2 linked regions of the Rattus norvegicus genome follow. The protein of the gene in region 2 interacts with the protein of the main gene of each other region in a biochemical or structural test. Links are inferred from orthologs where the notes say so. Each region holds a gene or a part of one and is shown on either strand. Other genes may lie near its edges.

Region 1 (4,681 bases), on a different chromosome or scaffold from region 2:
TCCCCAGGACTTGTAAACAAATGAGAATAGCTTCTTTCATTTGTACGCTGCCTTCAGAATGCCTTGAGGAGTTGAGAGGCTCAGGGCGACCTGACCAAGAGCAGGGATTCAGAACCTCATTGCGGACCGGGACTGAGGAAAGCGAGAGTGGGGCAAAGCTGGAGGTTAAGGAAGAGTGCGTACCCTGTTCCCACAAGCCCTCTCTCTTTACTGAGACAACGGCTCTCAGTATTCCTTCTAAATGCCACGTTGGTTAGTGTTCAGAAAAGAATGCTAAGACGTTTCGAAGTAGCTCAGATCAACAAAACTAAAAGCCAGCACACTGCTCAGTAGAAGCTGAAGGGAAGGTTTGACGGTTTGGAGCCTGCTAATGGGATCTGCAGTCCCAACACAGTCCCCTATCGCAGGGGATGGGGCAGACACAAGGCAAGTCACTAGACTGCTAACTTCCCAAACTGAATTTCAGGCTTTGAAGTAGAACCGGCAGATGATTAAACGCCTGGGCTAGAAAATGCAGGGCATTTTAAAGAGCACCAGGAACTAGGTAAGGCCTGTTGATTTTGACGTATGAGAAACCATGGAGGGCGAGGGTGCATGGATGGGAGCTCTGCGTTCCTGTGGAAATGCTTCCCTTTCTGCAACAGGATGTTTGAAACACATGCCACGGAATGCCATGCAATAAACGTCATTCAGCTCAAAACCATCAACACCTTGCTACTCTGTGTACCTGAGTTTTAACCAATTAATTAAACAATTAACTAATTTTCAGAAACAGATAAGTCGTTTGGGTTGGTCCTGAAGTCCTTAACTCAAGATATTCTTCCGCTGCCTCAGCCTCCTGAGGAGCTCAGACTTTACATCTATTATATATTTTTATATGCTTTTTATGTAAATACATATAATTCGGGTGTGTGTGTGTGTGTGTGTGTGTGTGTGTGTGTTTGCGTGCGCGCGCGCGTGTGCATGTGCTATCTACTCTCTATGTTTTGTTTGGAGCAGGGTCTCTAACTGCACTGGAAGTTGTGAATTAGGGTAAGCTGGAGGACCAGCGTCCTCAGGGATCCTTGCCTTCCATCCCAAGCTGGGAATGTGGGCCACCATGCCTGTTTTTTTGATAGTGGGAGGAATTTGGGCCACTGTGCTTATAAGGCAAGCAGTTTACCTACTGGGATATTCTCTGGGCTCCAAAACTCATTTATAACATGTCGGTACATGGCTGTGATCCCAGCACCTGGGAGGTAGATGTTGGGAGATCAGGGGATCCAGGTCATCCTTGGTTATTTACGGAGTTAAGAGGCTAACCTGGGATACATGAGACCCTGTCTCAATTCTTCTCTCTAAAAACAGCTTCTTTACATATCCAGTTAGACCTAGAACTCCCTAGGTGTCCCATCGATCTTGAACTTCATACCTTCCTGCCTAGCGTGCTGCTGCCTGGCTAATTCCTTTTAGCTGTATTTATTTTTGCTCTCTGACCTCTCATGTATGTCTGTCTGGCTAGGAAATCCCTAGCCATCAAAGATGGGCTAGAGTTGTTGTTTCTCCTGTCTCCACTTCCAAATTGATGGAATTAAATCTGTGGGCACCACACATGACTTGACTTCTAAACAAATGCTTATTTGCACCAAGACTCTGTACAGAGTATTGTTATACCTTTAAATAAACACAGGAGGAATGACCAAAGAAAGCTGACTTAGTTAATTTTATTTTTGTTTTTTTTTTTTTGGCAACCAGACACAACCTAGAGTCACCAGAAAATCGGGAACTTTAACTAAAGAGCTTCCCAGATGGGCTTGACCTATGGCCTTTGTGAGAGAGTGTCCCATTGGAGATGGTGTGAGGACATCTGGAGTCAGCACTACCAGTTCAACAGAACAGGGTTGTGGCTTCAGCTCCTGGCCTGACTTCTCTCCAGGAGAGACTGTTGCAGTGGAAGTGTAAGCCTGACAGAAACCCTTTCTTCCCCGAGCTACTTCTGGTCAGAGTATTTTCTCACATCAAAAGGACGGGTAAAACTGTCCCTACCACCGTGAATTCTAAAGGGCTCTTCTTTCCTTACCCAGTGCTGAAGTGAACCGAACGGGCAGAGAGGCAGGCAGTTAACACAGAAACCAAGGCTTGTGAGCAGGAGTCCAAAAGCCAGGACCGTATCTTCCTCAGTGCAGCCTGGCACCTCTCATGCTCACTTGACCATCCCTAAAGCAGTTCAAGGTCACATGCCAACTTGAGTACAAATCAGATTTCATCATCACTAACCTTATGCTCTCGGACGAGCTGGATCTCTTGAGTCTGAATTTACTCAGTAAAATAGCAAAACCATCTCGAAAAGTAAATTAAAAGTGGAGTAGGTCTACAGAACGGCACACGGAGGGGTCCTGTAATATCGGTTCCTCTCGCCACTGATCCTCTGCGAGCCTCTCAGGGCTCGGTGAAAGAAACAGGCCAGGCGGTGTATTATCTGATTTCCCTTACCCAATCTAAGAGGACAGCCAACTGCTTACACAGGTCCGCCATGCCAAGCAATGTAGGAAAGAAAGGTCAAGAAGCCGCCCGAAATGGCAGCATTCGTTCATCTCCCCAAACCCTAGCGTCCTAATATCAGGTGGCCTGACTGTCTTCACGGCTTTCAGGTCGGGAAAGGCAAACAGATAAACCTTGCTGTTGTTCCAGGTCAGACTCTTGGCCTGCAAGTGGGGGAATCTCCTACAGCACCCCATTTGGTCCTGATGAGGGCAGCATGCCAGGGGAGGGCAGGCAAAGCTAGGCGGCTTTCTCCAGATCTCCAGGAGCGCAGAGCCCAGGGGGCGTTTCCGAGCGCGGGGGCGGGCACAGCACGCACCGCCCCCGCCACCTTCAGGGTGGTGCTTAGGCGCTGATCTTAAACTCCTGCAAAGTTTGCAACGGGTCCCAAGCACGTGCAGCTTCCCCGCCCGGCTCCGTGTTCCCCGAGCAGCCGCCCGGCACCTGCGCGCGGTCTCCGCCTTTCCCCAGCCTCCTTTCTCCTGCGCTCTCACGCGACAAGCCGCTCCCGGGCTCTAGGAGGCGGCGGCGACAGCGCGTAGCGGGCGCCCCGAGGAACCCCGGGAGGCGGGGTCTGGGCGGGCTGGCGCTGGGTTCCCGGAAGCCGCTGCCTGCCTCCGAGGCTCCCGCCGAGCGGACCGGCGCGGCGGCCGGAGCTCCAACATCCTCACCCGCGCCTCCTGGAGCCGCCTCCCGGCCGCACGCACCGCGGGCGAGATGCTGCCGGTGCACACCGAGGTGAAACCCAACCCGCTGCAGGACGCCAACCTCTGCTCGCGCTTGTTCTTCTGGTGAGTGCCCTGCCTGGGCCCGTTCCGCCGTCCACGAGACGCCCCGCGCCGGCTCAGCCGCGTGTCCGTGGTCCGCGCTGGTCCCGGACGGTCAGAGGATGCTTTCCCTACACCGCCACACATCCCGGGCTCCTTGCCGCGCGTGCGCCGCGCCGCCTGCGGTCCCCGCCCGCACCCCACGCTCGCGCTGCTCCCCGCCGGGAGGGGCACGCGGGGACCGATGGCAGACACAGGTGGCGTCCACCCGAAAGCGTGGGGATCCGTGGGAGGTGCGAGGGTGCCCGGGAAGGGTGAACCCGGCATGCTCACCTTCGCTAGTTTTCCATCTCGGTTCAGGGCTTGCACAACTCCCTTGCCCAAACTGCACCTCTTTATTTTTCTTTAAGCAGCTGTTAACAGCTGGCTTTGTCTAATCGCAGCTGAAGCTAGAGTCCTGGACCAACACCAAACGCTAGTGTCCCCATCGCCTTCCGAAACACCTTACCAGACATCTTTCAGGTTCATCGATTGCGTGTGAGTGAGTGTGTGTGTGTGTGTGTGTGTAAGGAAGGAAGTTTAATAGCTTCCCGGACCCTGCCTCTCTTTTTGACCCCTCTGTGTGTGTCCTAGTATCTTACTATGGCTGTGGGTTAAAAGATCACTTTATTACGATGTCTTATTTAGTTATGATGGGACACTACCCTTGAGCAAGATCTGCATGACGTTTCCCTCTTGACTGAAGGAGGGTAGAGGAATATGCTTTTCCTTGTTAGATGGACTTTTTTTCCCTTCTGCCTTTGATGACCATATCACTCTTGGGGATGAGTTTCTGAAGCCTGTGGTGGTGGTGGGGGTCTTATCAAGATCCGTAGTCCTCAGAGACAGGATCCATGTTCTCGATGCCTAAAACCACTGAGTGGGTTCCCAGATCTGATCTGGCCCCAGCCCCGCCCCTCTCGTTGTAGGAAACAGGTGAAGAGGCTTAGATAAACGACATTCCTAAGTAGTTTTCCACCTAGTAACCTGGGCTGGCTAGGGCACGCTTGGCTAACTAGAATAGTTTTTATTTCTTGACCTCTGCCATGTTGTCTTTCTCACGTTCTAATGTTCCCCTTTTAAAATGAGAAAGCCTAGGGAGTTTCGGAGTCATTTACTGTTGTTCCAATTGCCGATACAGTGTGTGCAGGATCCTTTTGGACACTCGGTAAAGAGGAGCATAATAAGGGATGTGTGGGAAATTAATAATAATAATAATAATAATAATAATAATATAATAATACTCAAAGCAGGCGGACTGTCTCAGTCTCCTGGGCTTTTGGCAACACACAGAACTCCTGATGACTTTCCCGTGAGTGGACTTTCAAAATGTAGGTGAAGAGAACTGGGTGTGG
Region 2 (4,619 bases):
GGCTGGGGGCAGGGAGCAACAATGTATCTACAGCTTAAGTGCCTTTCAGGAGCAGCCACTAGGGTGTGGGTACCCAAGAGGCTAAGGCTAGGATGCTGCTGAGAGGCGGGTCCTAGTGCTTGGGTGGAGGTGGAAAGCCCCAGTTAAGGGCTCTGGAGAGAGGGGAGGGAGAGGAGAACATTGAGCTAGGGGCGCATCTCCTATCCACATGGGGAACTGTCTGAGCTGGCTTTACCTGACTCAGGGGGACCAGGTAAGTGAGGAGCTGTGCACTGGGGAGAAGCAGGCTGCGGGTGAGATCTCAGCCTGGGAGGAAGCTTTAAGGTGAAAGTGCAGTCTCACAGTACTGGACTCTAGTAGAGGATTTTCTCCAGGCCTCAGTGTCCTGGTCTGTAAAATGGTCGGTTTTCTCTAGGGTTGTTCTTGGAAAACCATGTACGAATGCATAAGGGGTTCTCAGTGGGACTGTTGTCCTGTAAGGGGAGATGAGAACTTAAGCAATTGTAAATCTAAGAATGTGTTGACTACAGACCTAGGAACCGGGAATGGGAACCCTGTGGTGCTTAATTTGGGACAACAGATCACCACCTAGAGCTCAGGGGCCAAAGTCCTTAGCACAGTTCATACTGGGTCTAGAGGAAGGCAGCACATACCTCCCATCTCTGCCAGATAAACTCATGTTCCCAAAAAACAGGGGAATACGGAAGACAGACACTTGCTGGGTGGAACAGGGGCCACCTACTTGCTGGCCCCAAAGACCTTGGTTGCTGTAGTCTCTTTAAATTTCTTATTCTTGCCTGTTGCTCTCTGGGTCAGGATGAGACAACTTTGGGGACCTAGAGGGAGCAGGCAGCACAGTCCCGATAGGTAGAGGGTGGGGTGCATCCCAGGAAGGGGCGCAGTGGTCCTTGCACTTCCCCTCTGGCGTCTGTGTAGTGTGTCTCTGACTGGACCCTTTCTCTAAGAGGCTTCCCATTTCAGGAACCCCTCTCACTGTAGCATATGCAGGTGTCTAAAAAAAAAGTGGTTCCTGGAACAGAAGCCAAAGGTGCTGGCGCTAGGGAAGGTGACCAAATGGGATAAGATAGGACTCCCAGGAACTCGAGGGTTGCCTGACCGCGAAATCCCACTCCTTAGTCCTAGGGTTTCTGGGCGCCCAGGCAGGGGCCTAGCTAGCGGGGCTTAGGCTAGGGCGGGGGCAGCCAGGAGGGCGGGGAAGGGGCGGGCGCGGGGGCGGTGCTGCAGCAGGAGCAGGGGCCAGGGCCAGAGCCGAAGTCGGAGCCCGAGGCGACGCGAGCTGAGCAGGAGCCACCGAGGCCGCTGCCTGCTCTCCCGCCCGCGCCTCTGCCGCCTCCGCGCTCCAGCCTGCGGGTGGTGTGAGCCGTGGCCAGTCGCGGGCAGCCAGGGGGCAGCGGGTGCCATGGCCGCGCCGGAGTCGCTGCGGCCCCGCTTGTGTCGCCTGGTGCGGGGCGAGCAAGGGTACGGCTTCCACCTGCATGGCGAGAAAGGCCGCCGTGGCCAGTTCATCCGGCGCGTGGAGCCAGGCTCCCCAGCCGAGGCGGCCGCGCTGCGCGCCGGGGACCGCCTGGTTGAGGTCAACGGCGTCAACGTAGAGGGCGAGACGCATCACCAGGTGGGTCCCTGCGCTGCGCCCCGCCCCCCGGTTCCCTCCTAGGGGCGCATCCCTACTGCGCTGGCCAAGATGCCTTCGACCACCCTTCGGCGTGCCCTATCGTGGGACCGGTCAAGGGTCCCATGGGGGCCTGCTGTTCGGGTACTGAGGTGTGGGACGTGGCCCGCCAGCTGGCCTCCTGGTGAGGAAGCTCAGTCCTGCACAAGCGGGGGAGGGAGGACATCCTGGTAGGGAGGGGCCGCACTGCGGCTACTCTGGCCAGGGCCCTGGCTGCTTCTGCTAGTTTTGGCCTCCGTGTGCCATGGAGGGGGAGGAGGTGGTGAAGGCACCTTGTGGCCTTGTGGTATAGATGCATTTCTGTTCGTGTGTGAGTTATGTGTGTGTGCTTGCGGGTCTCCCTGGGGTCATCCATATGAATACACTACCCAAGTGTTCCAGGAGTGGCTGAGAGCATACTTGTGTCAGTGCTGGAATGTGTGCTTAGGTTTGTGTAGACACATCAGGTATGTGTGCTGACTCTGTGCGTGTGTGTGTGTGTGTGTGTGTGTGTGTGTGTGCGCGCGCCTGTGCGAGCTCACGAGTGCCTGCCTGCCTGGTTATACTAGTGTACTTCTCATGGCTGGTGTGTCTGGGTCTGGTGGAGTCAGCTCTAGTGGCAGCCTATTCCTTGGGCTCAGAAAAAGCCTCCTCCTGGGAGCTGCCTGGCCCTGTAGAGGTCACTGTGCAACCCTTGCCTGCTGGCAGCTGGAAGGAGGAGGGCTGATGTGGCGGAGTCTCTCTGCAGATCCTACCTCTGGGATGTCCGTATTCCACCGAGGGGTAGACACAGTTAAAACCTTGATTAGGGTTCAGTCTCCCTTCACCTTTTTTATTCTGGAACCCTAGTACCACTAAGTCCAAGACCTACGTGAGTGGTCAGTCCTGAGGCTTGGAGGAAGCAGAGTGGCTCTTTGCTGGGCTAAAGTTGAACTTCTATCTTCCCGGCGACCTGCCTTGTGACCACTGGATTTGGTTGTGTGCTGAAGAGTTTGGGAGTGAAGCCCAGTGGTTGGCCCTAAAAGCAAGGGAGAGGCTGGCAGAGTTGGTATTACCTGCGTCTAGCCGTCGCTGGAATGCAGCTGTCTAGTCTAGTCTCTAAAGACTTTCACATAGAGCCACAGTAGAATCCTTCTACTGCTCAGGGAGATAGGAGGCAAAACCAAGACTCCCATTCTACTGATATGTAGAGATTGTGGGTGACTGGCTTAGCTCCTTAGTGCTGGGATCCTTCTGCTCTCTTGGTCATCTTGGACGATCACTGAGGGGCCAGGTAAAGATGGGCCTGGCTGGGTAGGACCTTCATATCTGTGGTGGTATGTACTCCATGGAGTCACGCTGGAGATCCTGCCTCTTCACTCCCAGGCTGTGGGGTGGGGTTGTTAATGCTTCCTGCCCTTCAGATGTCCACTGGGCACTTTTCCCTTTGAACACATACTAACATCCTGCGTGATCCACGGTGGCCCACACTTCACAGGCACCCATCCAACCCATCCAGACAGATACGCAGATCTGTTCTGCTTCGGTACCTGCTGGAGATGAGTTCTGCTTACCTGACGTGTGTGAGCACCTTAGAATTCCTAGGTCTTCACCTCTAAGCAGGTCCAGCAGGGATGGGTTTCTGGTCCTGGTTGGAGGCAAATTGAAGTTGGGGTCAACAAAGACATTGCTCTCTCCTACACCTGGACCAAAACCCCAGACTTTAAAATAGACACACACACACACGTACAGAAAGCACACACATATATGCACACATACACACAAAGCATACACATATGCACATGCACACACACACACACACACACACACACACACACACACACACTCACGCACACACACAGTTAAGCACGTACCCATGCACAGACCAGACTGAAATCCTGAAGCTCAACTAAACAGATTCTGACTCTCCCATCTGGCTGTTCCTAGCAGCTCCTCCGGAGCCCACCTGCCGAGAACACAAGGCCACAAGAGAACCCTGAAGTACTTGCAGCCTGGGCCCTAGCTCCAGGGAGACGAGGGAGGGAGCTGCTGGAAACTGGGGGTGGGGGGTGGAGCCCGCAGGCCTCTCAGTCCAGCTACCCACCCCTGGCAGGCCAACCCCTGCCCTCTGTCCATGAGCCTGGGCCTAGCCGGGAGTGGTGCCCTATCCATGTGTTGCCCAGGGTGTTGCCTGCTGACCGGGTCCTGCTTCACACCCATTCCAGGTGGTCCAGAGGATCAAGGCTGTGGAGGGACAGACCCAGCTGCTTGTGGTGGACAAGGAGACAGATGAGGAACTCTGCCGGCGGCAACTGACCTGCACTGAGGAGATGGCCCATCGAGGGCTTCCGCCAGCCCACAACCCCTGGGAGCCAAAGCCGGACTGGGCATGCTCAGGCAGTCTTGGCTCGGACACAGGCCAGAAGGTATGGTGGGCTTTTGTCTGTGGGAACAATGAGTCTTTCCCAGAACCACCATCGCTGACTGCCTCTTGATAACAATCTTCCCTTTGGTCACTCCTATAAGCCTCCGTTTCCTCTTAGGGCTCTTTCCCTACTGCAGTAGCCACTCTGTGCCATTGGTGACCACCTGAAGCAACTCTTTTGGCCTTTGTTCCCTCTGCTGGAGGTCCCAGTGGCTGAGGAGTTACTGTGGCTCTAAAGATCTGAATGTCTGTGTTAGGTATCTGTCATCCTGGGTTTTGTCCACGACTCTGTCTGAAGCATCCATGTCTAAGCCATCCGTGTGCTCTGAAGCCCTTGGGTGGATTAGATCCTACATCAGGGATTAGTGCTGTAGCCGCTCAGTGATGGGGGTGGGCGGGAGTGTGTGGGATCCAGAACACAGGGGCTTCCTAGGGAAAGGGAGTGGAGGGCCCACGTGCGGACGCTTCTTATGAGGACACAGGTACAGCTCAACTGGGTTCCAGTTCCTGTCCTTGTTCCCACTTCCCGAGGGTGCTGGAACCCTG

The links.
Region 1: the proteins of Nherf2 (region 2) and Abcc4 form a complex in vitro, tested with the Homo sapiens proteins (2 studies listed by BioGRID and IntAct, with this or other methods). The link is inferred for Rattus norvegicus from reciprocal best matches to the Homo sapiens genes NHERF2 and ABCC4.

What each region holds. Positions count from the first base shown.
Region 1 is NC_086033.1:102,179,921-102,184,601, reverse strand, and holds the start of Abcc4 (ATP-binding cassette subfamily C member 4), read left to right. Parts: upstream 1-1,689; 5' UTR 1,690-3,237; coding exon 3,238-3,311; intron 3,312-4,681. UniProt on the Homo sapiens protein: ATP-dependent transporter of the ATP-binding cassette (ABC) family that actively extrudes physiological compounds and xenobiotics from cells.
Region 2 is NC_086028.1:14,174,246-14,178,864, reverse strand, and holds the start of Nherf2 (Na(+)/H(+) exchange regulatory cofactor NHE-RF2), read left to right. Parts: upstream 1-1,345; 5' UTR 1,346-1,420; coding exon 1,421-1,633; intron 1,634-3,873; coding exon 3,874-4,074; intron 4,075-4,619.